Linked DNA regions of Canis lupus familiaris. The protein of the gene in region 5 interacts with the protein of the main gene of each other region in a pairwise test. Links are inferred from orthologs where the notes say so. Each region holds a gene or a part of one and is shown on either strand. Other genes may lie near its edges.

Evidence for each region.
Region 1: the proteins of CREB3 (region 5) and BCL2L1 interact in a two-hybrid assay, tested with the Homo sapiens proteins (2 studies listed by BioGRID and IntAct). The two-hybrid records come from large-scale screens. The link is inferred for Canis lupus familiaris from reciprocal best matches to the Homo sapiens genes CREB3 and BCL2L1.
Region 2: the proteins of CREB3 (region 5) and FXYD3 interact in a two-hybrid assay, tested with the Homo sapiens proteins (2 studies listed by BioGRID and IntAct). The two-hybrid records come from large-scale screens. The link is inferred for Canis lupus familiaris from reciprocal best matches to the Homo sapiens genes CREB3 and FXYD3.
Region 3: the proteins of CREB3 (region 5) and UNC50 interact in a two-hybrid assay, tested with the Homo sapiens proteins (2 studies listed by BioGRID and IntAct). The two-hybrid records come from large-scale screens. The link is inferred for Canis lupus familiaris from reciprocal best matches to the Homo sapiens genes CREB3 and UNC50.
Region 4: the proteins of CREB3 (region 5) and FAM3A interact in a two-hybrid assay, tested with the Homo sapiens proteins (2 studies listed by BioGRID and IntAct). The two-hybrid records come from large-scale screens. The link is inferred for Canis lupus familiaris from reciprocal best matches to the Homo sapiens genes CREB3 and FAM3A.
Region 6: the proteins of CREB3 (region 5) and NKG7 interact in a two-hybrid assay, tested with the Homo sapiens proteins (2 studies listed by BioGRID and IntAct). The two-hybrid records come from large-scale screens. The link is inferred for Canis lupus familiaris from reciprocal best matches to the Homo sapiens genes CREB3 and NKG7.
Region 7: the proteins of CREB3 (region 5) and FAM3C interact in a two-hybrid assay, tested with the Homo sapiens proteins (2 studies listed by BioGRID and IntAct). The two-hybrid records come from large-scale screens. The link is inferred for Canis lupus familiaris from reciprocal best matches to the Homo sapiens genes CREB3 and FAM3C.

Annotation. Positions count from the first base shown.
Region 1 is NC_049245.1:21,645,027-21,648,454, reverse strand, and holds the end of BCL2L1 (bcl-2-like protein 1), read left to right. Parts: intron 1-1,276; coding exon 1,277-1,414; 3' UTR 1,415-1,438; intron 1,439-2,841; 3' UTR 2,842-2,928; downstream 2,929-3,428. UniProt on the Homo sapiens protein: Potent inhibitor of cell death. Inhibits activation of caspases. Appears to regulate cell death by blocking the voltage-dependent anion channel (VDAC) by binding to it and preventing the release of the caspase activator, CYC1, from the mitochondrial membrane.
Region 2 is NC_049222.1:118,298,803-118,302,834, forward strand, and holds the start of FXYD3 (FXYD domain-containing ion transport regulator 3), read right to left. Parts: upstream 2,801-4,032; 5' UTR 2,664-2,800; intron 2,580-2,663; exon of another isoform or gene 2,435-2,579; intron 1,290-2,434; exon of another isoform or gene 1,283-1,289; intron 1-1,282. UniProt on the Homo sapiens protein: Associates with and regulates the activity of the sodium/potassium-transporting ATPase (NKA) which transports Na(+) out of the cell and K(+) into the cell.
Region 3 is NC_049231.1:45,120,337-45,124,548, reverse strand, and holds the start of UNC50 (protein unc-50 homolog), read left to right. Parts: upstream 1-1,412; 5' UTR 1,413-1,524; intron 1,525-1,530; exon of another isoform or gene 1,531-1,664; intron 1,665-1,754; exon of another isoform or gene 1,755-1,970; intron 1,971-2,713; 5' UTR 2,714-2,717; coding exon 2,718-2,997; intron 2,998-3,739; coding exon 3,740-3,860; intron 3,861-4,212. Other genes in the region: COA5 (cytochrome c oxidase assembly factor 5), read right to left, coding at 1,258-1,356. UniProt on the Homo sapiens protein: Involved in the cell surface expression of neuronal nicotinic receptors. Binds RNA.
Region 4 is NC_049260.1:123,394,522-123,396,990, forward strand, and holds part of FAM3A (protein FAM3A), read right to left. Parts: intron 1,012-2,469; coding exon 888-1,011; intron 754-887; coding exon 695-753; intron 185-694; coding exon 134-184; intron 1-133. UniProt on the Homo sapiens protein: May act as a defensin against invading fungal microorganisms.
Region 5 is NC_049232.1:52,553,895-52,558,043, reverse strand, and holds the start of CREB3 (cyclic AMP-responsive element-binding protein 3), read right to left. Parts: upstream 2,801-4,149; 5' UTR 2,405-2,800; coding exon 2,312-2,404; intron 2,207-2,311; coding exon 2,059-2,206; intron 1,970-2,058; coding exon 1,902-1,969; intron 1,788-1,901; coding exon 1,698-1,787; intron 1-1,697. UniProt on the Homo sapiens protein: Endoplasmic reticulum (ER)-bound sequence-specific transcription factor that directly binds DNA and activates transcription. Plays a role in the unfolded protein response (UPR), promoting cell survival versus ER stress-induced apoptotic cell death.
Region 6 is NC_049222.1:106,223,649-106,226,895, reverse strand, and holds NKG7 (protein NKG7), read right to left. Parts: upstream 1,853-3,247; 5' UTR 1,702-1,852; intron 1,652-1,701; exon of another isoform or gene 1,464-1,651; 5' UTR 1,438-1,463; coding exon 1,281-1,437; intron 1,206-1,280; coding exon 1,059-1,205; intron 977-1,058; coding exon 842-976; intron 756-841; coding exon of another isoform or gene 728-755; coding exon 516-727; 3' UTR 501-515; downstream 1-500.
Region 7 is NC_049235.1:59,539,127-59,542,626, forward strand, and holds part of FAM3C (protein FAM3C), read right to left. Parts: intron 2,498-3,500; coding exon 2,371-2,497; intron 1,583-2,370; coding exon 1,493-1,582; 3' UTR 1-1,492. UniProt on the Homo sapiens protein: May be involved in retinal laminar formation. Promotes epithelial to mesenchymal transition.

The DNA.
Region 1 (3,428 bases), on a different chromosome or scaffold from region 5:
TAAGTGCCATGATCTGATCTATGTTTTTAAAAATCCTCCATATGGAGCATGGACTGAGCAAGGTTATCAAGACCAGAAGTAAGGCCAGGCAGGTCTCACTCACAGTGAGCAAACTGGCCTGGTGGAACTTGGAACCAGCTGGAGATGGCAGGTGTTGTCTGAGGGAGCAGCCACCACTGCCAGTTGGGACCAGGTGGAAATGAGGGCCCAGGCTGTGAGCTCTTAGTGGAGAGGAAAATCATGGGCTCTGTTCATTCATCGGTAATCCATTCACACTAAACACGCATACTCCCTAGGCCCAGAGGCTCCAGTCTGTAAATGGGGAGAGAGGGCCTGCACTGCAGCATCACTGAGAGGATTACAGGACAAATGGGGTGCAAAGTTTACTCATTAAAGGGTGCCCCACACGCTGGCTCCGCCCCGGGGTGGGTAATTTAACCCACAGCCCCACCTTCCCCATATCATGTGCTTCCCTCCTGACTGCTAAGGGCTGTTGCTCACCTCCTTCTGGGCCCAGAGTGTGTGTGTGTGTCTCTCTCTCTCTCTCTCTCTCTCTCTCTCTCTCACACACATACACACACACACACACACACCAGGGGGTGGGGGACAGCGACAGGGCTTCACAGATCCCATCCTAGGCCGGCATGTAGAAGGTATCCCTCTACTCTGCCCTCAGTGTCTACCCACCAGCCTCCCCTCCCTTCTCCAGAGGGAGAAGGAGCCTCGGGCCAATAGTACCTGGCCTTCCCCTGAATCGCTGGGAATTTAGCCCTGTCCCCTCTCCCTCCCTCCCTCTCTTAGTTGCATTGGTGCATCAGCAGGAAAGCTAAGGCCTAGTGGGTGTGCACTATGCACAGACTCCACCCTCCTCCTCAGCTTCTAGACCACTCATGGACCAGCTGTGGCTCATGGTGTCTCCCCATCCCTTTCTCTCCAGCCCTGCACTCCAGCCACCTAGCCTCCTGTTACTTCCCTGCCCCTGCTGATCTCTTTCCTGATGCAGGTTCTCCAGTATGACTTTTTAGCCAGTTCACCTTGAACAAAGCTCTTCCCAGCTTTGCACCCTTATGTCAGCTATAAAGTGCATTGGTCATCCCCAGCTGGGCGGCAAGAAGGAGGGCAGCCATGAACCCTTTACTTGGCCCAGAGTGGGCATGGATGGCTATAGTTTTTCAAATCACTATTGCATGCAGGTGGCCCCTTCTCCCACCCACCCACCCATATTATTGTCATAGAACTCAAACAACACCATCCTTTCTCTTCTCTATCCCTGCAGGATACTTTTGTGGAACTCTACGGGAACAATGCAGCAGCCGAGAGCCGGAAGGGCCAGGAGCGCTTCAACCGCTGGTTCCTGACAGGCATGACTGTGGCTGGCGTGGTTCTGCTGGGCTCGCTCTTCAGTCGGAAATGACCAGACACTGACCACCCACTTACCCTCCCACCCCTGTCCTGCCCCTACCACACCCCTTTGTCCAGCCACCATTGCCACCAGGAGAACCACTACATGCAGCCTACGGCCACCTTCCCATCACAGGGTTGGGCATAGACCAGGTCTCCCGCAATTAGTTTTCTAGAATCTACCACGCTTCTGTGAGAGCCGCCTTCCCCACACCTCAGTTCTCTGGCCTCAGAACCCACAAGGTTTCCCCAAAATCTGCCCCATGGAAGCTGGCAGGTGTGGGGGTGTTTGTGGCTGGGGGCTGGAGTCCCTGCCTAATTGGTGGAAAACCCCTTAGCCTCACCAAGAATGCTTTCCTGCCAGGTAGCTGGAAAGTTTCTGACCTTTTTCCCCAGAAGGAGAGACTAGATTGCCTTCGTTTTGATGTTTGTGGCCTCAAAATTAATCATTTCCTATCCCTTCCAGAACCTAGGCTCCCCTTCCTTTCATCCCTTTCAAGAGCCACTTAGGGGCCACTTCTGACTAATTAGGGATTCAAGCTGCTTGGGATAAAGAAACAAGGACCAGGACCTCCTCCCCACCTCTGGCCTGGCCAAAGTCCTTGACCCCAATCCCAATGTCCTCCAAAGGCCCCTGGATAGAGGCCAGCCCCACCCAGGAGGAAGAGGGCTGTAGCTGCAGGAAGCACCCCGTGCCAAAGCTGGGGTGGCCCTTGCAGTTTAGCACCACCCCAGTTCCTTTCCCCTTCCCCTCCCTTGGCTCCCATGACCATGACTAAGGGACCAACTGGGCTCAAGGCAGGTGCCCCAGAGCTGTTGATGGCTTCAGCTGCCTGACTTTCCTGCAAGAAGATCAGCGTGTGGCATCTTTGCCTGGAGCTACTTGCCCATGGAGCCCAGGGATTCGGGGGCCTTGGCCCAGAGGTGAAGGGGAGCTACAGGGAGCAGCTGTGGGAGCCCTAGAGTCTTCCCTACCTCAGGCAGGAAGGGCAGGAAGGAGACCCTGATGCACAGGGTGGAGGTGGGGGTGGCAAGAGGGGCCAGACCTACCTGGCCAAACAAATATATGCCCCACTCCCATTCAGCCTGGGGTGCCAGGCTGCCAAGGTCAGAGTGGCCTGGCCAGGAGTCCTTCAGGCCTCCCTCTCCTCTACTCCACCCATGGCCTGTCTCATCCCTGGGGGTCCCGGCCTATCCCTGGCCATCCTGGGCTCTCTGCTGTACATATTTGAGACTAGTTTTTATTCCTTGTGAAGATGATATACTATTTTTGTTAAGCGTGTCTGTATTTATGTGTGAGGAGCTGCTGGCTTGCTGTGCGTGTGCACGTGGAGAGCTGGTGCCCGGAGACTGAACGGCCTGATGCTCCCTCCCCTGCCCTGGTCTGGGGAAGCCAGCTGGGGGTCCTGGCTCCTAAGGGGCACCTGTCCCCCCCCCCAACTCCCCCCCACACTTGTTCCAGCTCTTTGAAATAGTCTGTGTGAAGGTGAAAGTGCAGTTCAGTAATAAACTGTGTTGACTCAGTGAGCAAAGGGCCTGGGCTCTTGTGTGCCCTGGGCTGGGGAAGGAGGGGCTGTGCGGTTGGCAACAGGGCTGCAGGGGAGCTGCGCATCACTGCTGGCTCTGCTGCCTTCAGGAGAGGGCCTTGGACAAGTCCCTTCTTCCACCTGGGCCTGAATTTCTCCACCTATTCTTTGATGGGGGTTTTATTGAACACCTGCTGTGTGCTAAGCAATGGGTATGTGGGAGCAGGATGGATGGATGGACACAGTCTCTGCCCTCAGGAACTGACATTCTAGGAGAAAAAACAGCCACTTGGCAAGTGTTTACTGAGTCCTGCTCTGCCCAGGCACACTCCTAGGCACTGGGGATTCTACAGTGAACAAAGCCCTTCCTTTATGGAACTCGCATTCTTGGGAGACAGACAAAATATAAGGATGAGACAGTCTGGCTGTTGGAGGGCAAAGGTAGAAGCTAAATGACCATAAGGAAGAAGGACAAGACTTATGAAGGACCTAGTGGGGAAG
Region 2 (4,032 bases), on a different chromosome or scaffold from region 5:
GTCAGGCCGGAGCTGGCTCCTTAGGCTGCTCAGAGCAGGATGTGCAGAGGAGAGCACTGGAGCCTGGGGTGGAGGTGGTGGAGGTGCGGGGGGGGGGGGGGGGGGGGGGGGGGGGGCCAGAGCAGGGAGGAGCCACCTGGCTGCAGCCCCAGTCCCATCTGTCTCCACAACCCTGGAAGCCCTGGTTTCTGTACTGCCCCAGCCCCTACCCCTGCCCCTACCCCTGCCCCAGCTCCACCCCCTGCCCCTGCCCCAGCCCCAGCCCTTACCTGTGCCCCGCCCCAGCTCCTGTCCCTGCCCCACTTCTGCCCCTGCCCCTGCCCCAGCTCCTGCCCCTGCCCAGCCCTTACCCCTGCCCCTGCCCCTGCCCCAGCTCCTGCCAAGCTCTTCCTGGCAGCCATTATTTCCTCTTTCCCCAGATAGGGCTGTGCAGCAAAAAGAATCCCTCCGTCCCTTTCCTGGTCTGGTATCAGCCCACCCTGCCCCCATCCTGAGTGCCTGAGATAAGCCCCATCTCTCTGTGCACCCTCCCATGTCCTCTCCCTGCCCCCGCCCCAGCCCTTGCCCCTGCCCCTGTCCTGCCCCTGCCCCTGCCCTAGCCCCTGCGCCAGCCCCTGCGCCAGCCCCTGCCCCTGCCTCTGCCCCAGCCCCTGCCCCTGCCCCAGCCCCAGCCCCAGCCCCGGCCCCGGCTCCTGCCCCTGCTCTTGCCCCAGCCCCTGCCCCTGCCCCTGCCCCTGCCCCTGCCCTGCTGCCAAAAGCATACACTGTCAAAATGCTGACAGCCAGAACTCGCCTGTCCTCCGACCCATCCTGTGCTGGGCACTGCCCAGCGACCTTGCTGTGTCTTCACCCATTGCACCCCCTGGCACCCCCGGAGGTGATCTGTCCCAGCCCTCATTTCACTGAGCCCCTGGACGTTCCCTGCTCCATCCCCAGGATCCTCTCTACAGCTGAAGAGAACCACCCATCTCTCTCGTACCCCCCACGTAACCCCCACCTCGAGTTTCTTTCTCCTTCCTGCCTGTTCTCACACACTCCTCCCTGTCCCTGTGCCCACTCAGGTCCTGGCAATCCTCTCAGCGGTTAACCCCCTACAGTGGACTCAAATGCAACCATTTCTTGCAGGAAGGGGCCCGTAGCTTTGGGGAGCATTACTAAGGCATTTAGGACCCCAGAGATTGGGGAGAAGAGCTGGAGCGGGTGTGTGGGCAGGACAGCCTGGTGGCTCAGGGCGCAGGTCTGTAGGAGGACCACCTATCCTCTAAAGCTGCCTCGTGGGCACCTGGGTGGCTCAGTGGTTGAGCATCTGCCTTCAGCTCAGGTTGTGATCTCAGGGTCCTGGGATCGAGTCCCACCTCGGGCTCCCTGCATGGAACCTGCTTCTCCCTCTGCCTATGTCCCTGCCTCTCTCTGTGTTTCTCATGAATAAATAAATAAAATCTTTAAAAAATAAATAATACATAAAGCTACCTCGTGAGGCTTTGTCACCCGAGAGGATGCCTGCGTAGTGAGAGCTAGGGCCTACTTGAGCGGTTACCCCATGCCAGGCACTGGTCTCAGCTCTTCACTCATAGAATCTTCGCCGCTCAATGATGTTGGCACCGTGGTCACCCCACGTTGCTGCCACGGCCTTGTAACCCCTGCTCACTCAGCTTAGTGCTGTCTGCTTCACCCAGGGCCCAGAGTCCCTAGCTCTGAAACCTCTTCCCATGGAATGCACCAAGTCCCCCCGGCTGTGAGGGCTCTGTTACTCCCCATCCCCAGGGCCTGTCCAGGCGTCCCCGGCACAGGGGAGACCTAAGGGTGATCTCAGCTGCACCCCAGCCCCAGGACAAACTTTCCAGCCTGGCTCTCCTGCAGTGCAGGCTGCCCTCACCTTCCCTTCCCGGCCCAGGCTGCTGTTGGAAGGGGCCCTGAGCTGCTCCCGAAGGGACTGTAGTTGGTGTGAGGACTTGGAGATGATGACAGCCTGCAGATGGGGGCTCTGCACACCCCTCTAGGCTCCCTCCCTGCCCTGCAGGTCCCAACACCAGTGCGATGGCCGGTTCCACCGTCCGCGCTCTGCTGGCCTCTCCATGACGGTGGCCATCAAGCCCACGCAGAATGACTCCCCCATGTCCCTGGAATTTCCTACCCAACTCCCCACTTTATAGCTTCCCCAGGAAGCCACCATCCCCTTTCCTGAGAAGCTCCAGGACCCACACTCCTCAATCCCTAGATACCCCAAGTCCACCCCGCCACCCACGCATCCACTCTGATACCCTCAATCTGGCCCTGATCCACCTGGATACCCCCGTCCACCCAGGCACCCCTCTCCAACGCTGTCCACCCAGATACGCCCAACCCAGATGCTTCTGGTCCACTCTGACACCCGCGATCCACCCAGGCACCCCGCTTCCACATGTGGACCTTACCCTCGTCCCAGCTCACTCACCCAGTCCCCTCAAGGCAGAATGATCAGGGTCAGGGGGACCCCCGATCAGGCCAATGGAAGATGCTTTGTCTAATCTCCTGCCTCCTGCTCCTTGCCCCCCCCTCCCCGGAAAAATCCTTGCAAGGAGGAAGTTCTAGTTAGTGTCTTTAACAGAGATCAGTGGGAAAGCTGGAGTGGTTTGGGGGCAGAGCCAAGAGGGTGTTGGAGGGAGGGGACCCCAGCCGCTCACCTGTGTGGCTCCCCAGAAGGCTTGGAAAGTTCTGGGAGAGAAGGGAGGGAATGCAGCTGCTAAGCCTGAGTCCTGCCTTTATCCGCAGCTGCCACGCCCTAGGCAAACCTGGGCAGGTAGAGAACAAGTCGGACTCCCTAAAGCTCTGGGGCTCTCTCACCCCATTCCTGCTCTTAAAGAGACAGCTCCCACATCCTTCTTCCCAGCCAGGGTGCTCCCTGAGGTCCCCAAGGTCACAGCAGCCTCAGGTAGGCGGAGGGGGCATACGATGGGCTGGATTCTGCTCCTCACATCAGGACAGGGGGCTTTCTTCAATGTCTCGCCCCCGTGGAAGGGACCTGGAAGGAAGAAGGTTGAGGTCTCCAACAGCAAAGCTTCTGTCTGGAAGAATGGTGGGGGGAAGGCGAGGCACTGGGGTGATAATCTCATGTCTATCACTTAGATTGTGTGCTACACTTGGTCCAGGAGGGCTTGGTGGCAGTTTCAGGATATCTGAAGTCCCTTTCCAGATCGCCTGTTGCTTCCGACCCCTTGAGGGTCAGCAGATGATGCTGATAGGACCAAGGTCATGAGGTGGAAGGTGGTGACAGGAGTGGAAGGTGGGCGCCTTCGGGCTTTAGACTATGACCTCGCTCCCAAGTGCCCAACGTGCCCTGGAGAGATTGGGAACTGGTTTCTGAGCATCGGCAGACCTTCCTAGCTCGGGCTCTTCCCGAGGGTGCTGGGAGCCAGATGCCTGGGTCCAGGCCGAGGGCGTTGGGGTGGAGGCTGCCTCCCACTCCGGATAAGGCCATTGCTCAGTGGTGCAAGGCCCCCTCCCTCCCTCACCCCTCCTGCCCCTCCTCCTCATGGCATTCTTTCTGGCTGGGGTCTGTGTAGGCCCCCACATGGTCCTCGTTGGGGTGCCCCCTCCCCCTAATTCTGCCTTTTTAGACAGAGGGACTTTTGTCTGGGGGCTGGATGGAGAACAAGGCGCCTTTGAGTGGCTGGCGGAGGATTGGGGTCATGGGGAGGGGCAGGGCCAGGAAAGGGGTGGCTCTGCACTGGCCACCAGCTGGACTCCAGGCGACCCCCAACACCATCTCGGGGCAGGGGAGGAGGGCTGCAGGAGCCAGGCCAGGGAGAGTGCGGAGTACAGGATGGGGAAAGGGAGTTTCCGAGGTCAAGACTCTGCTGGGGGTTGTCTGCTGGGGGTTGTCCGCAGGGCAAGGGAGAAAGGACCCCCCCACTTCCTAGCAGGAAGGGCTGGGGAAGCAAGGAAGGCAAGCCCAGATACATGCTTTCTTTATGTGGCTCCCTCAGGCAGTTTTTCAATCCCAGGCCTTAGACTAGGACAAGGCCTCCCCCGCCCTGCTCCCATCAAGAAGTC
Region 3 (4,212 bases), on a different chromosome or scaffold from region 5:
AATAAGTTGCTCTCCAGTGGACTCCCACGGGATGTTGTTCCTAAATCTAATCATTAAACAAATATTTACAAGATGCTTACACAGATGCTTATACTGCTGGAATTTAGACCCTTCCATGACTGTCCTTCCCATCAGACTGAGGTGATGTAGGGTATGACTGTAACCGATTCATCTTGGTATCACCAATGCCTTGACATCATGCCTGCCACTTACCAGGCATTACTAAGAGCTGACTATTTGCACCAATGAAGCAGTCGACTGGAAAAGCCCTGTGCAGGGAAGTGTAAAGTGTGAAGACAGGGCACCTCCGTTTCCTCCTCCGTGTGAGAGGGACTAGAGAGCCTCCTAAGCCCATGACAACTCAAAGTTTTAGGACAAATTGGGCAGCCAGTCCGGCTGACTGCTAAAATCAGTGAACCAAATGTAAATCCTGAATCAGCAGAAACACTGATACAGCTTTATGATGCATGTCCATTTGGGGATAGTCTTTCCCTTTGAAGAGCAAACTCTGAAATTACATCTCCAAATGCAAAAAATAATTGCACGCAACTGATTGCCCTTTCATCAGGCCTTTGTAACTGGCAAAGGCACTTGCGTTTGAGTTGGGCGCTAAGCTAGAACCCAGCTTTGGACCTCAACCGTCAACTCTGGACCTCACCGCTTGCTCTCTGCACTCAGGTTGAGAAGACATGATTGTAGTGAGGGGAGACTGCGGTGGAAGCAAGAGACAGAACAGTGAAGAAGAAAAAAAAATGGAGCCGCTTCGTTTACAACTTATTCAAGAAGGCACATAACTCCAACTCAGAAACGATTTCAAACCAAGAGAAAGTATCTATTCGACCACGACGGAACAGAGAAAGGAGAAACTACTAGTCAATACAGCGTACCAGGTTTATGTAATTCTCTGATAATTTAGATTCTCATTTTCTAGCACGCAGGAAACCGGCCTCATTCTCCTTTATACTTCCAGAACCTAGTGGAGTGGCAGGCAACATTTAATCAATGTTTCTTGAACCGAAATGGTTTATCTTTACGAGAATCCAAAGGGGAGGTTTCATGATCCCCAACCTAACACCGGAGGGAGCTGACGCTCCGACAGCCGACCCGCCCAAGTTCACCAGGCTGGCGCCGTGATCTATCCCTAGGCTGGCTGGGTCACCTCCCCTGGGCGCCACCGCAGGCTGAGCGGGAGGCGTCGGTCGGGTCCTGCCTCCCCGGTTCCAGCGTCTCCTCACCCCGGGCGCCCGGCCGCGCTACCTGGAGCACACAGTCCGACTGCAGCAGACAGGCGCCCAGGTCCTCCTTCACGCCCGCGCACGCGCCGCCCTCCGGCTTGTCCTCGTAATAACGGGGCATGACTGCGTCCCCGCCCCAGCAGCCGAGACCCGCTGGCGTCCGCAGCCGCAGCAACCCCTGTGGGGCGCAACGGACACCCGCGGAGGGAAGGAACCGGAACTTGCAGCCACAACTTCCGGCGGGCCCCCGGAAAACTACGGGGCCCGAGAGGCCGCGCGCACGGCGGAAGTGGGTGCACGTGACGCGCCGCGCCCCCTGCGCCGGCTACGTTGCGGGAAGGGAAGTCGGCCCGGCGCCTGCTGGGTCTGGCTGCTGGGCGGAGGTGGCGGGTTAGCTTGGACCTCTTGGAGGCCGCAGGGCGGCTCCAGGTGAGACCCGAGGACTGCTCCGTGCACGCGCGGCTCGGGCTCGCCGGCGCCTTTCCTCCGGCCCTTCAGGGCGCGCCGGCCCTCGGCCCCGGAGTGACCGTAGCCGCGTCCGGCGGCTCGGCCTGCGGTAGGGCTGCCAGATAAATAAGCCAACGACGCCCGTTTACGCTTAAATTTCTCATGAACGACCGACAGCGTGTCCGTGTCTGTCCCACCCAATGTTTCGGACAGTCTTCTACTGAAAGTTATACTTGTATCTGAGATTGATTCGAATGTAACTGGGCGTCCTGTGTTTTCATCTGCTAAGTATGGCGACCTTCCCCGCAGCCCCGGGGTGACGGGGAGCCTCTGGAGCCGGCGCGGCGCCGGGGGCGACCGGGAGGCCTGGGGGCGGGGCGGGAACTGGGCGGCCGGCCTGTGAGGGCTGGACGGTGAGCCGCGCTCCCCGGGCTCCAGGCTGGGTCCACCGGCCTCCCACGCTGCCATTCCCTCTGCTGAACTATTCACGGAGTAATGCACTATGGGGCTTGAATCTTGTTTTTATATCATATTCCAGTGAAAGAGTTGCTTGGTGGTCTTGCACTGATGGACCCATGTGAACATGCCATTATTTTACCTCGTCGGTAACATTGTTTCTAATTGGCTTTTAAAACCGATTCCCTTAAAAGGCCTGGTGGTTTAGAGCACGGGAGTTTTGGCTCCATAGTCCTCTCTGTGCTCCTGAGGGGGTCCCTTCACCTCCTAGTGCTTTTCTTTCTGCCTCCCTCTCCTCCCTCCCTGTGGTTAACAGTGACTACTAGGGGGAGCTTCCCCAGGCTTGAGAGAGGTGAAGCGTGGGAAACCTACAGACCCCGTAGAAGTGCTGTGAGGGTTCGGAAGGGACAGTTCTTGAGCCCCCAAATAAGCCTCAGAACCACCTCCATTAGCTTTTGACCCCTGACATTTACCAAGGATTGGGGCGGAAATGTAAGATGGCATCCCTCCTGAATATCTCAGAAGAGGATACAAGAGGATATCCTTGTAAAAGATTTTTTTTTTCTTCTATCTAGGAAGATGTTACCGAGTACTTCAGTGAATTCCCTAGTGCAGGGGAACGGAGTGTTGAATTCCAGAGATGCAGCAAGACACACGGCTGGAGCAAAACGCTACAAATACCTGAGAAGACTTTTTCGTTTTCGGCAGATGGACTTTGAGTTTGCTGCATGGCAGATGCTCTACCTATTTACTTCCCCACAGAGAGTTTACAGAAATTTTCATTACCGAAAGCAGACAAAGGATCAGTGGGCCAGAGATGACCCTGCTTTCTTGGTCCTCTTAAGTATTTGGCTCTGTGGTAAGTGTCAGTTTTTCTGTAATAGAGTTGAAGAACAGACTGGTTTGTTTTTGTTTTTTTTTTAAAAAGATTGTATTTATTTATTAGAGGATGCAGGGAAAGGGACGGATGGAAAAGGAGAAGCAGGCTCCCCACTGAGCAGGGAGCCCAACACGGGGCTCTATCCCAAGACCCAAGGTCATGGCCTGAGCCGAAGGCAGAAACTTAATCAACTGAGCCACCCTGGTGCCCCGAAACTTAGTGTTTTAGATTGTACTTGTCCTTTGCAAAATCTTTTGTTATAAACATATTGTGGGTCAGGATTTAGGATATTTGAAGCTGTTTCTTCTTTTCTGAAGCCTCAAAAATCTCACAGGAAAGAGTGTTGTTTTTTCTGGTTTCGAAGGTCCCAGGCAGATGCCAGAGTAAATTGTTTCTTCGGAACATGGAAAAGCAGAAGACAGAGTCACTCCGTGTCTTTTAACTGCTATGATAAAGAAGTTGATATCAAATGCAAACTAACTGTGAAAAGGACTATCAAGATGGGAAATTGCATTTCACGGGCAAATCTAGAGTGAGAGTGCTAAAAGTACCAATGCAAACTTGTGAAACTACTTTTAAATTCTCCAATAATGTAGTGAGAGAGTCCTAACTACCTTTAGGATATAAATGTATAAGATTTTTTTCACCTTTACCTGGGCTTAAATATGTGACTGCCTTTTCAGAACCTGTCCTGAATTTATCACACAAATCTTTCTTTCAGTGTCCACTATAGGATTTGGCTTTGTTCTGGACATGGGATTTTTTGAAACGATAAAGCTTCTCCTTTGGGTTGTATTCATAGATTGTGTAGGCGTTGGTCTTCTCATATCAACTTTAATGTGGTAAGTATCATAATTTGGATTTTTCAAGTCCTGCTGTAGAGCCTGCATTTGCTTCCTTTAGAGATACAGTAGCTGATGTGCACTGAAAGCATGAGTTTAAATTTTTTTTTTATCATTGAAATATAGTTGACACACAATGTTACATTAGTTCCAGGTGTACAACATAGAGATTTGAGATGTATATACATTATGATATGCTCACCAAGATAAGTGTAGTTACCACTTGTCACCTTACAGTGTTGTTATAAAATTGACAGTATTCCCTATGCTGTACTTTTTATCTCTGTGTCTGATTTATTTTATAACTAGAAGTTTGTATCTCTTAACCCCCTCCACCTATACCACCCATTCC
Region 4 (2,469 bases), on a different chromosome or scaffold from region 5:
CTCTCCCTGCCTTTCCCAAACCCAGGCAAGTGCTCAAGCCACAGTGAATGGACAGAGGGCGGTGCTTCAGGGGAGAGATGCTCGGTCATTCTGCTGCACAGGCAAAAAGCAGGAGGCCATGGCGGCCACTCACCTCCTGCCCACATGTCGAAGGCCCGGGCCTCGATGAGCTCACCGCTGACCCCTGGGTTGAGAGGGAGAGAGGGGTCCTGCTGGGCGAGCCGCCAGGGCAGCTCCACCCTACCACCTCAGCCCCCTGAGGTGAAGCTAAGGACACAGCGGTGGCCACTGGTGCAGACCTTCTGGAAGCTTTTCAGACACGCCTCCATATTCATGCCCACTGTGCCCCCTTCTTCGGACGGCTGCAGCCCACCCAAGGCTGTGCCGGTTCTGTGTGCCATTGGAGGCTCTCCAGGGGCTCCCTAGGAAGCACCTCCAACCTCTTGGAAGCTTCTGGTTCTTTAGGGATACTGTGCTTTTGTTTCTTGGGTCACTTCTTCTGGGGAAGCTTCTGCTGGCACAGACCGTTTCCCAGGCCTCCCTGGGCATTCCCAGCAGGGAGGCGGGGGGAAGACCAAGGCAAATATCCAGACACCTGCTCACGGGGAGAGCACGGGGCGGGGGCAGGGTGGCAGGTCACGGGCTGGCTCTGCTTCTGTGCTCTGAACCTTGATCCCACGTCACAGGGACTCACCATTCACGAGGGCGATGTTCAGTCCCCGGCCCACGTTGTCCTTGACACTGCTCATGAGCCTAGCGGGGGGAGCGGGGAGCGGGGAGGCAGGGCCCTCAGATGGCACATTCGCTCCACTCTCCCTCACAGATCCAGCTTCTGGTCCCCCCCTCCCCCCCGCCCCGGCATCCCCCGTCCAGCCCACAGAGCTCACATCCTATCTTCGAGGCAGATCTTTGGTCCGATGACATTGGCAGCTCCGCTGACCATGCGGAAGGCCAGGTGCTCCTCGGGACATGGCTGGGGCAGGCCGCATTTGTACTTCCGGGCTCGTGGCTCTGGGCAGGGACAGCAGGGGTGACCCATGGGCCTGGCCCCGGGTCACCTGAGATCTGAGGGGGGGAGGTCAGGACCGGCCCACAGGGGGTAAGAGTGGCCACAGAACAGGGATACTTCCACCGACACCGCATCCTCCTGGGGCTGGCCTCAGGGCAAGGCGACAGGACCTCAGGGGGGCTTTTCTGCCACTGGCGGGAGACAAGAGGTAGGAAGGCTGGCCTTGGCTGTGGCCCTGGCAGGAACAGAGCAGAGGTGGGGAAGGGAGCAGCTGGGAGGGCGACCGCAGGAATGCGGTGACGAGGAGAGCACCTGACCCCCATGGGCAGAGGTGGCAGGGCAGGAGGAGGGTGGCCTCCGTCACAGGTTGGACTGTAACCCATGAAACACGTGTTGAGGTCCTAATTCTAGCACCTACGCATATAACCCTGTTTGGAAATAGAGTCACTGAAGATATGATTTGTTAAAATGAGCTCATCCTGGATCAGGGTGGCCCGAAATCCAATGACAAGGGTCCTTATAAGAGGCAGAAAAGAAGACACCGAGACAGAGAGGACTGAGCGCAGACAGAGGCGCAGACGGGAGGGATGCAGCCACGAGCCAAGGATCCCCTGGGGCCCCCGGAAGCCCGAAGAGGCAGGAAGGACCCTCCTCTGGAGCCTGCAGAGGGGCTGTGACCCTCCAACAGCTAGATTTCAGGCTTCCAGCTTCCCGAACATTCCTGAGACAAGAAATGTGTGGCGTTTAATCCATCCAGTGTGTGGTAGGTTATCCCAGCTGCCCCAGGAAACGGAGACAGATCTTCACCGCAGGTGTTGGGGGCTGCTGCCGTTACAGGTCCCCCATGTGGGAAATGGCTGCAGGATTCCGAGGGGCAGCTAGGCCAGGCCGAGACTGCCTCATGGGACTGCCGGTACAATACGGACGGACAAGGCGGGCCTTGTCAGAAGGGGGCCAACGACTCGGCCACATCCTATTCCAACGTTCTGTGTAGAACGGGACTTGTAAGTGCGGACCTTGGATATTTAGGTGAGGACACCTCCCCACGCAGCGTTGAGGGCACAGCCTGGTTTCTCCCGTTTGCTCCCAGGAAGAGCCGTTGAAAACAGAATTGCCAAGCACAGAGGAACCAGAATGTGAACGCTTGGAAAATACTCGGTCTAGCGCTAGTGCGAAACGCGAGAAAGCAGGCTCTGGATAGAAGAGCAAGGCTGTGGTTGGAGGGCCGGGCATCGAGCGGGAGCATCCAGGAGAGACCTGCAGGGCCCTCCTGTCTCACGGCTGAGCCTCATGAATCGCAACAACACAACAACAAGGTTTTTGAGGATTTTATACCGGCGGAAACGCTGCCATCGTGGGCCGACAGGGACAGAAACAGGATGGAAAGAAGCAAGGAGTGCTCTGAGGGCAGAGCAGCGGCTGCAGAGGGCAGGGACAGCACGGGCCCAGATGATTCTTCT
Region 5 (4,149 bases):
ATAAATAAATAAAATCTTTAAAAATAAAAACAAAACAAAAAATCTTGGGGCACCTGGGTGGCTCAGTTGGTTAGGAGTCTGACTCCTGATTTGACTTCAGCTCAGGTCATGATCTCAGGATCATGGGATGGAGTGCCGCGTTGGGCTTTGTGATTAACAGGGAGTCCACTTGAGATTTTCATTCTCTCTCCCTTGCTTTCTGCCCCACCCTGCTGCTTGCATGCACAAGCACAATCTCTCTTTAAAATAAGGAAACCGGGATCCCTAGGTGGCGCAGCGGTTTGGCGCCTGCCTTTGGCCCAGGGCGCAATCCTGGAGACCTGGGATTGAATCCCACATCGGGCTCCCGGTGCATGGAGCCTGATTCTTCCTCTGCCTCTGTCTTTGCCCCTCTCTCTCTCTCTCTCTCTGTGACTATCATAAATAAATAAAAATAAAAAAAAAAAGATTTAAAATAAATAAACCTTTAAAAAAAAATCTTTAAATTTTCCTTATCCTAAGCTAACCGACATCTGCCTCTATGATTTCTATCAATTGAACTTACCTGGTACCTATCTCTGAGACCATATAGAATGAAGGTTTTTTTTTTGTTTTTTTTTTTAAGATCTTATTACTTATTCATGAGAGACACACACACAGAGAGAGAGAGGCAGAGACACAGGCAGTGAGAGAAGCAGGCTCCACGCAGGGAGCCTGCTGTGGGTCTCGATCCCGGGTCTGCAGGATCACGCTCTGGGCTGAAGGCAGGTGCTAAACTGCTGAGCCACCCAGGGATCCCAGAATGAACAGTCTTTAATTTAAGCCATTTAACATTTCTTCAGAGTTAAAAGATCTGGGCAAAAATTTTAACTTCTCGGGATGCCTGGGTGGCTCAGCAGGTTAGTACCTCCCTTCAGCCCAGGGCACGATCCTGGAGTCCCAGGATCAAGTCCCATATCGGGCTCCCTGCATAGAGCCTGCTTCTCCCGCTGCCTGTGTCTCTGCCTCTCTCTGTGTGTCTCTCATGAATAAATAAGTAAAATCTTAAAAAAAAAAAAATTAACTTCTCACCTCTCTTCGGGATGGACTGCATCCTCTTAATATCTGTCAAAGATCTGGGTTCAAAACTAGACACTAAGATGTGCTCTGGCCAGTATAATGGAGAAGAAGATGGTCACTGCCCTTCTAGAGGCAACACCTCTACTGATACAGCCTTCAAACCCCACTCTCTGTCATCTCAAACTAACCCATCTTGTACTTTTAAGAAAATTCTCTCAACCTTCCTGTAGTGTTGGTTTCACAACAGTACCACAATACTGTGCTTGTGAAGCTGCTATTCATTGCCTGAAACTTAAAACTTGGGATTTTACAATTATTCTTGCTATATTACTTAGTCCAGCCTTGATGAACTCTAACCATTTAGCTACAGGTGGATTACCATGAGTTTGCTTGCACAGTCCCTTCCAAGACCCTACACTAATGTTGCATCGATGATTTTGAATTCTTCTCAAAGAAAACACCAAAACTTGTATGAGCCCCACAAAACCAGGATCTGCCTCTGCATCCACCATATTAACATCATGCTCCAGCTTCCTATTACCAACAAATTTGCCAAGTTTTCTAACCTCAGTCCTTCCTGACATAAAGTTAACAGAAGTGCACACTTGGGATCCACAACACATCCCTCCAGCCTTCACTCCCACCAATGGGAGTCTTACCTTAGTAAGAGGAAGCGTCCCATGCAGAGTAAGCCCCTCCTTCTCCAACAGCCTCTTCTCTTCATCTGTCAGTATCAGCCTAGCAATCTCCTGGGATTAGTTACCAGGAGGTGGGCAGCAGAGTTGCAAGGGGATGACAGAAAGGAATGGGGAATCCGCCCCCACCCGCGCAATGTGGGAATGATCCCGCCATAAATCAAGTACCTGCTCTGCGGGCTCCTCCACTTGCAGTGGGGTCGTCTGGGCCTCTTCTTTTCCATAGCTCCCACCATCTGCAAAACGAAAAGTATAAATAGCCAGACCCACGAAGCCTCTCCTCCCCTCAAACCTCACTTTCTTCCTCATCATATTTCAGACTCACCTAGATCTATGGAAACATGCTGTTGTGAGAGAGAGTAGGTGTGATCATGGTGCACGAGACAGGAATCAGAGGAGCTAAGGACGTTCAACGATGCTGGGGGACTCAGCATGGAACTCAGGAAATCCTCTGCCTCCCATTCACTCAACGCCTGCACAGGGTTCAAATAAACAAGCCTTGACCTATCAACTACCCACCACCCCATGAACGCTCTCCCGGGATCCCCGCGCCTCCCCGGCTCGCAGCCCCCACCCACCTCGGAAAGCGGCGGCCCGGCCCCCAAATCGCCGCTTTCCTCTAGCAGGAAATCCAGCAGGTCCTGGTCACCCAAGTCCAACGCCAGCTCCATACCGGATAACAACCGGAAAGATGTACAGAGAGACCTATCCGCAAGCCCGGACCTGTCGCTCTGAAATTGCACCAGCCCCCAAGACCCGATTCTCCGCAACTTCCAACACCACGGAAGTGACGCGCACACCCCCGAGGCACCACGGGATTTGGAGTTCCCTCCGACGCGGAAGTGGCCTAGCCGCGGCGCGCCACGTCCCGGGAGCTCTGCAAATAGAGGGGACGTCCCTGCGGCCTCCTCACACCCTGAGGGCGGGCAATCTGGGAGGCCGCCTCCGCCTCGGCCCCAGGCTGAAAAAAAAGGAAGGGTTAGAGACCAAAGGGGAACTCGCGCGCAGTTCGGGCGTCTTCCCGGATTGCGCCGCACCCTTGTTTCCTGCCGGGGGAGCCGGCCGGGGGGCGGGGGGGGGCGCCTTTTTAAGGCCGGCTCCCGAGCATCGAGAGCTGGGGCCAGAGCAGCTTCCTGTTGCCCCCACAACCATAGAGCGCGGGCCCAGGGCGCCGCCCGCGGGTGGGGGACGTTCCGGGGACGGAAGTGGCCGAGAGAGTGTCGAAGGGAGGGCGAGGCCGAAGCCCGATTACCACCGGGAGAGCGAGCGGGTTATCGGGCCGGCGGGCGGGGCACGAGCCGGGCAGCGCAGGTAGGCCGGACCGGGCCGAGCCGGAGCCTCAGGGTGGGGCCGCACGGCCAGGACCGGGAAGCGAGCGCGAGCGCGGGTGGCAGCGCGGGTGGCAGGGCGGGCGGGGCCCTTGCGTCCGCTGTTTCGGGTCCTGTTGGAGAGGTCAGCGTCCAGTGTATCTCGGCTTGGGATCGGAAGTTAAGTAGGTCGTTTTAAGGGAGCCAAGCCTTTCCTGGGATCAAGTCCTCTCTGTCTGGAATAAGTTTTGGGGAGGGTGAGGAGTTGGGTGACAGTGAGGCGCAGGGCGGGGATCGGCTTTGAGGTTAGCTGATAGTGAGTATGCGGGTAGGAAAGCTGGGGGTGAGTTTGGGAATTAGGTAGAGTTGGGTTTAGGAATTAAAGGTTAGCTTACGGAGTTAAAAACCGGAGTTGACATTTAGAGTTACCAGTGTGAGTCGGGTCCGTTTTATGTAGGTAGAGTTTGGATTAGGTCATTATTCTGTTTCTGGCCAACGTAAGTCAAAGTTAGGGTTCAGGGCCGGTTTAAGGGTCAACACAGGATTTAAATTAGAAGTCCAGTTTTTTAGGGATTAGAGAACATTAGCATGGAACTAGGGATAAATCGCGAAGGGATGGATCAGAAGTCAAGTGAGACAACAGTTTTAGGCTTAGAGATCAACATTTAGAGTTAAGGTCAGGAAATTCATTCCTAGAGGTAAAAAGTAGATCAATATTAGGGATCAAGGATTGGGGACGGGTGTCTGCCAGGAAAGGGATGAATGTCAAAGCCAGTGTTGGGAAACAGGAACCAAATTAGGGTCAGGGTTAATATTAGGGATTAGGGTTAGTTTTATGGGGGTTATGGCTGAGGTTAGGGTAGCTGACCTTGGATATATTGAATTTAAGAGATTGGCAGTAGGTAGGTGCTCTCGTTTTGCAGGGAGGTCTCATTCCTACGTAGTTTCAGGGGTTCTCTAGCCCAGAGATAGGATAAACTCATTTCAGGTTAGGGATCTGGGCTTCAACTAGAATTGCAGGTATCTGGGATTCTAGCTTCTTTATTTCTGTTCTCTAAATCCAGTGTTCTTGCTGTGGTCACCATGGTTGAGGGGCAAGGGTTTATGGA
Region 6 (3,247 bases), on a different chromosome or scaffold from region 5:
AGACCCAGCAGGAAAGATGAGCTCAGGAAAAGCCAGCTGAAGGAGTAAGTGAATTAATGAAGTGGGCAAGGAGGACCAGAGTGAAGACCAGGGTGACAAAATCAGAGCAGGAGTGAGATGGAAAGATAAAGAAGAAAGAGAAAGGACAGAGAGTCTTGAGGTGGAAACAGGGAGAAAGATAAGGGCAAGAGAAGGAAAAGACATGGGACCGTGCCTGAATCCACACAGTCGTGTGCGGGAGCTACCTGAGCACAGGTGGGGGTTCTGACTCCTTTCTGTGTGCCTAGTGTCCCCACCTTGGAGCTCAGTTTATGTCGTGTCGGAATTAATCTCAGAATAACCAGATTCCAGGATGCCTGGGTGGCTCAGTGGTTGAGCATCTGCCTTCTGCTCAGGTCATGACCCCAGGGTCCTGGGATCGAATCTTACATCAGGCTCCCTTCAGGGAGCCTGCTTTTCCCTCTGCCTGTGTCTCTGCCTCTTTCTGTGTCTCTCACAAATAAATAACTAAAATCTTAAAAAGAAAAAAGAAAGATTAACCAGATCCCAGCAAATTTTTGTTGAATGGATGAAGAAACAAATGAAGGGGTCTCAGGAGGGCTAGGGGTAAGGGCTAGAGGGAGGCCTGTGGGTGCCTGCGGCTCCTGACGACATCTTCTGTGACTACTGCTTCTTCCTCCTGGTCTCGCCTTCAGCTCACAAGGTGTCATAGCCAGGCCGGGAGGCTCTACAATAAGCACTCAGACTCAGGCTACCTGGTGTGGCAGAGAGAGGTTAGCGCTTGCCCCCACTCTGCTCTCTCAGACCCCAGACCGCCTCCAGTTCCCAGAGCAACAGTCACCTGTACAGAGCAACAGGACAGTCGAAACCCAACCCAGGTAGAAGGACCAGGAGAAGAAGGTCTGGACCTGGGGGCTGTGAGGCTGGTTCCACCGCTCACTGGTATAGACCACCATGGCCACCATCGCAAAAAGGCCTGAGGATGGAGAGGAGAGACAGGGCTCAGCCCCTCTGCAGGAACTCCGGTCCCCAGTGCCCAAGTACAGCCCAGAGTCTACCTGCAGCAAAGGCTGTGACAGAGGAGATGAGGCGCCCGTGGCCTGGAAGGGACAGTAAGGGGATGTAGGACAGGACCAGGAAGATCACCGACACCAGGACCGACAGACTAGCCAGAATGGTGAGGCTCTGCGTCGCACGGATGTAGTCTGTACGGAGGTGAGATTTTGGTGCCTGCCCCTCTGGCAGCCCACCGCCCCCAACAAGAGACCCCTCTCCCTTACCTGCTACTTTGTTATAAACCCCCTTTGGCCAGAGGCCGGAGTGAAATGTAAAGCTGGGCCCCATGGCCACGAACCAGAAATCCGTACTCAGAGCAATCAGGATGGACACCAGGCCCAGGGAGCCAGTGAGTAGAGCCAAGGACCGATAGGGCTCCATGTAGGTGAGCACTGGGTGTCTGGGTCCTGGAGATGAAGAGGCTGGTAACCTGGGCGGATGGGTCCTCTGAGCTCAAGAAAGAGACTCAAGACTTTAAAACCAAGCTGGTTTGGTTTTACACAGTTCCGGGTAACTGACTCTTGCCTTACACCCTCCCTTCCTGGTTGCCCTGTCCTCCCCCCGCACAGGTCCAGTTCTCCTCATAGTGTGTGGTGGGGGAGGGTGTCATATCATCAGTGGTTTGGGTGGTGGTTCAGAACTTACCTCTGTTTTAGGTTCTATACCTCCCACCCTTGGAACCCTCAACATCAGAGGAGACTTCTTCCTGGAAGAGGTGTGAGAGAGGCTTGGGGGCCTCAGGGTGGAAGGTGACAGATGAGACCAGGGTGTGAGTTAAATGGGGGGGATGTGGCCAAAGGGGACAGTTAGGGGTTGTGTCATGCTTTCCTGTGGGTTCTGCAACCTTCCATTCTGGAAGAGGGGGCCCCAACTCTAGTGTCTCTGCGGAAGGAGGGGCCTGGAGGCCAGGATGCTTGCAACTGAAGGGATAGAGGGCTGGAGGCCTGGACTTGGGTCCTGAGGAAGAGGCAAGCAAGCAGGGTCTCAGACTCCTGGATCCCTGCCTGGAGCTTTTACCCAAGACAAGCAAACAGTGGAGAATCACAATTCTGAAAGTTTGTGGAGAGCATGACATGCCCACATCCTCCTCTGATGAGAGTTCACAGAGCTCTACTTTGAGCAGGGCCTCCAGTGTGATGGGCTTCATTGCCAGGATCAGGGTGCCTGAGGGACACAGGCAGGCACACAGGACCCTCCCACCCTCCAAGCACTAGCCGCCTCTTCCCATACCAGCAATGGGCCCTAAGCAGTGCCTCACCTCACCAATGAGCAGGTATAAGGTAAAGGTGCCATAGCCCAGGTAGAAGGTGCAGGCCATTCCTCATGGCCTAGAAGAGGACCCCTGTCATGAAGCCAGCAGTCCCACAACAGCTGGTAAAATGGAGACCCAAGAGTGACTCAAGTGGCCAGGGCTTCTTCCATCTTCCATCATTGGAGACTCCAGTTTGCAGTCCCCCATCTCTCACCCAGACCCTCATCACTGACGTAACTGGCCACTCCTGAGAACATGTTCACAAGGACAGGCTCTCAGGGGCAAATTCAGGTCAGCAATAACAAGGGCACCAATACAAAAATGGCGGTGCATATAACTCTAGTGAAGAACAGCAGACAGGCTTCAGGAAGTCTGGGCCATGGGTGTGTGGTGAAGGGAATGTCAGGGCACAGAGGCCTTCTGTGATGTCTACCCCATCTAAAACCCAACCCCATTCTCATTTCCAAACCTAACCCCAAATTCAACCCCATCCATAACCCAGCTCTACGCACAAACTCAACCCCAACCTGATTCCTAAAGCAAGCCCTATTTACATCATCAAGACCAGCTCTAAAGCCAGTCACATCCCCAACCCTAAATATGATCCACTCCTTAACCCCAGTTCCAACCTCTAATTTAATCCCATCCTCCAACCTAACCTAACCTCCAACTTCTTGGAGAAAGAAACTCTGCCCCAACCCCATCTCCAAATCTAAGCTTAGCCCCAGACTCAAACCCATCCTCATCCCAAGAGACTTAACCCTATCCACATTCCCATCCCCATGCCAGATCACACTTATAGCCCCACCCCCACTTTCTCATCCCCTACCTCACCCCCCATAATTCCTATCTCGACCCTACTCATTCTTCTCTCCATTCCACCTCCAGGCCCATGCCTGTAACCCTGTTTCATCTCCCTTTACTTTTGAGTTTGTTTCT
Region 7 (3,500 bases), on a different chromosome or scaffold from region 5:
GTCTGAAAAGTTCACAAAAATTCTTTTAAATGTGTAAGGTGCATTTATCCTTGAATTACATTCAGTTTGAGAGAAGAACCAGTACCCCAAAGTTCATTAATATTTAAGAAATAGCTGAACAGCTTCCAAGTTGGTTTACAGCAAAATAAAAATACTGCCTTTAGGTTTTTTTATACAAGTTTTCTAAAATTTAGATTCAAAATTTAAGTGCTGCCTTTTATGGTGAGTAGTTTGATCATTAATTTATGTTCCAGTTTAAGATACTTCATACACCGTAGGTATTTAATGCCCCAACAATAAAACAAAACAAAAACAAAATAAACTAGAGTCATTTAGTGAACATCTCAAATGAACAAAATTTTATGCAGAACTGGGTATGAAGTCATCTGGAGTCAAACAAAATCACTTTTTTAAATGTTATCAGTCCACTCAGTAATGAAGACTTTCCTACATACGTCGTCGTATCTTCAGGCAAAAACTATTACGAAATTAGATGAAGTAACTACAGAATTGTGTTTCTTGGTTTACCATCAAAATGATGGTGATATTAAAGCATGCCTCTTTCCAAACCGCTTGGCCAATGCTGATAACAAGCAGGCAAGGAGACATCTGCCAGCGTTGCCCCACGGCCCCCGCCGCGACTGTCCCCCAGCAGCCGGTCCGGGCGGGGAAGCCAGGCGGCCGCTTCCCGGGGGGGTCCTGGGGGCCGCGCGCTACGCAGGTCTGTAAAATCCAGTTACTCACGCTGCCCACTCAAAACCCAGACTGCGCCAGCCCTGAACACCAGCTACCTCTACAGAGTTCCTTTTTTACTGGGTACGTTAAAAAAAAAAAAAAAAAGAAAAGAAAAACAACAACAAAAAAAACATGTTGTTGTGCTTTTCACACATCTGATACAGGTTTTCATATCATTTACTCTTAGGTTTTTGGGAAGAGAAGAGAAACACTAAGAAAATAGGTATGCCAGAGAGTCAGACTGCAAAATAACGCCGCACACACGCAACTAGCCAAGCATCTTTTTAATTTAAAAGATACTATCATTAAAAGGCAACATACATATATATATATATACATATCTATACATGAACGTATATATATATATACATATAGAAAAGAAAGTCTCCTCCTCAAAATCCTTATTACTCGACGATAGGTTTTCACAGCAACCAGTCTATGTATCAGTATGTTTTTCACCCTCTGTTCAGGTGGCACCGGGTACGCCTCCAGAATAAAGGCCGTCGTTCCTGCAGGCGTCTAACACTCTACTATTATTAGGGAAATGTGCTTAGAAATGGTTCAGTGATTTGCTCATTATGATGACTATTTACAAAGGCATCTATTTACGTCAGCAATAAATAATCCTGATATCAAAAGGGATGATGCTCATGCACACATCGAGATGGCTGCATGCTCCGGGAGTATTTACACGTGGCTTCTCCGTCTCAGCTCTGCCAGGAATAGTGAAAGTGCGTTTCCCTCAGCGTCCCCGGCGTTAGTCTTGCTTCTGGGGGATGCATCCTTCCATTTCGACCACCTCGGGCCATCCTTCGTATTTGTTTGTGTCCTTGTTGTTCTTTATGTGCTGTTGGAATACAGTAATACACACGGTTTAAAAATTTTTTTTTAATTTTTATTTATTTATGATAGTCACACACAGAGAGAGAGAGAGAGGCAGAGACATAGGCAGAGGGAGAAGCGGGCTCCATGCACCGGGAGCCCCATGTGGGATTCGATCCCGGGTCTCCAGGATCGCGCCCTGGGCCAAAGGCAGGCGCTAAACCGCTGCACCACCCAGGGTTCCCAATACACACGGTTTAAAGGAAGAAAACGCTTTATGAACAGTTTGCCTCCTGTCACCGGCTTTGGTGAACTCGCTTCTGCGACACCCGTGGCCGCGAGGAGGCCACACATGTTACGGCGCCAGACAGGCAACGAGAACCCTCGGGCCGGGCAGGCTTCCGAGGAACAGCCCAAAGAACAACACAGCGGTCAGGCCTACATTCGACCGCATTCTGGAATATTTCTAAACTTAGCAGATTATAGAGTCAAAAGCCTGATTGGACTCGTTAGTGACGAACGCTTCCTAAATGGCCCGTGACAGCAGCAAACATATATGCCGGGAACTGTGTCACAGAAGGGAAAAATTTCCCATGCAGAACAGAATCGGACTATTTTTCAGGTTTGATTTTAAAACAGGGCCATGGGCATTCCAAATACCTGATTACCAGGAGCTTCCGAAAAATACGTGAACACACTTAATGGCTGCTTTGTCAAAGGGCCAAATAACCAGGAGAGGAATATACACGCCACACGGTTTCACGCAATTTCCTTTTGTCCGTTAATTGTGAAAGTCTAAGAGAAGACACTAACCTGTTCAAAGGGGCTCTTTGTCTTGATGCCTTTCCCACCACAGAAGACCCAGTTGTCTCTAAAACCAAGGTTAGTAATAGACGTACTCCCCAACTCAGCAATGAGCCGTCGTGCCTCATCGTTGAGTCTTGAAGAGGAAGAAAAAAAATCATCAACACAGAGCACTGTATATTATCTAAGTAATACTGACGCACCAGTAGGTTAACATGCACCATGAGATAAAATGAGAAAATACCAGCTTAAATAAAGAAGAGAACATTAAAAAATACGGAATTTCTTTTCAGAGCACCATTCCTATTTGAGTTCTCTACTGACAAAAGACGTGAAATCGAGCATTTCCTTTTAAGTTTATTCTATCAGGAAACACCTTTTGGATGTCTTTGTCTTACAATGATTCACTTTCATCTACATCCACCAAAAGATAAGGGATGCCGCAGCTAGTAGGTGCCTACCTCGGCGAATACAAGGTCTTAAAGCCACCACTGCCTTCTTCATGACATTAAAAATCACTTTGAATTTCCACTAATCCCTTGGTAAGTTACATTTGAATAAAGGTAGACGCTGGCAGAAATACAGGTGTTTCTAATACTATGTTTTATTTACATGAGCCTTGAGAATAGGTATATAAATTATACTTCAGTAATAACTGTCGAGTGGTTACTTAATAAAAATGAACGGAAACCAGACAGCGGTGAGGTACCTGCCAACGAGGAAGGGCAGTGGCTAAAGTCATGTGGCGAGGAAAGAGCTAATGAAAAATGGCATGAAGACATTTTGTGGGGACGCCTGGGGGGCTCAGCGGTTGAGCACCTGCCGTTGGCTCAGGTCATGACCCCGGGGTCCTGGGATCGAGTCCCGCATCGGGCTCCCTGCATGGAGCCTGCTTCTCCCTCTGCCTGTGTCTCTGCCTCTCTCTCTGTGTCTCTCATGAATCAATCAATAAAATTTTAAAAAGAAAAAAAAAAGAAATCTGCGTCGGTTATTATCCTAATGCAAGTATTCTCAATCTCCCCTCTGTGTCACTCACAAAAGAGAAGTTCAGCAGATACATGCTAGATGGAGAGGGGGGAAAAAAAAGGCAGTAAATCCTATGTATCTCCCAAAAGACGGCAGTTACAGGTCACTTAGGT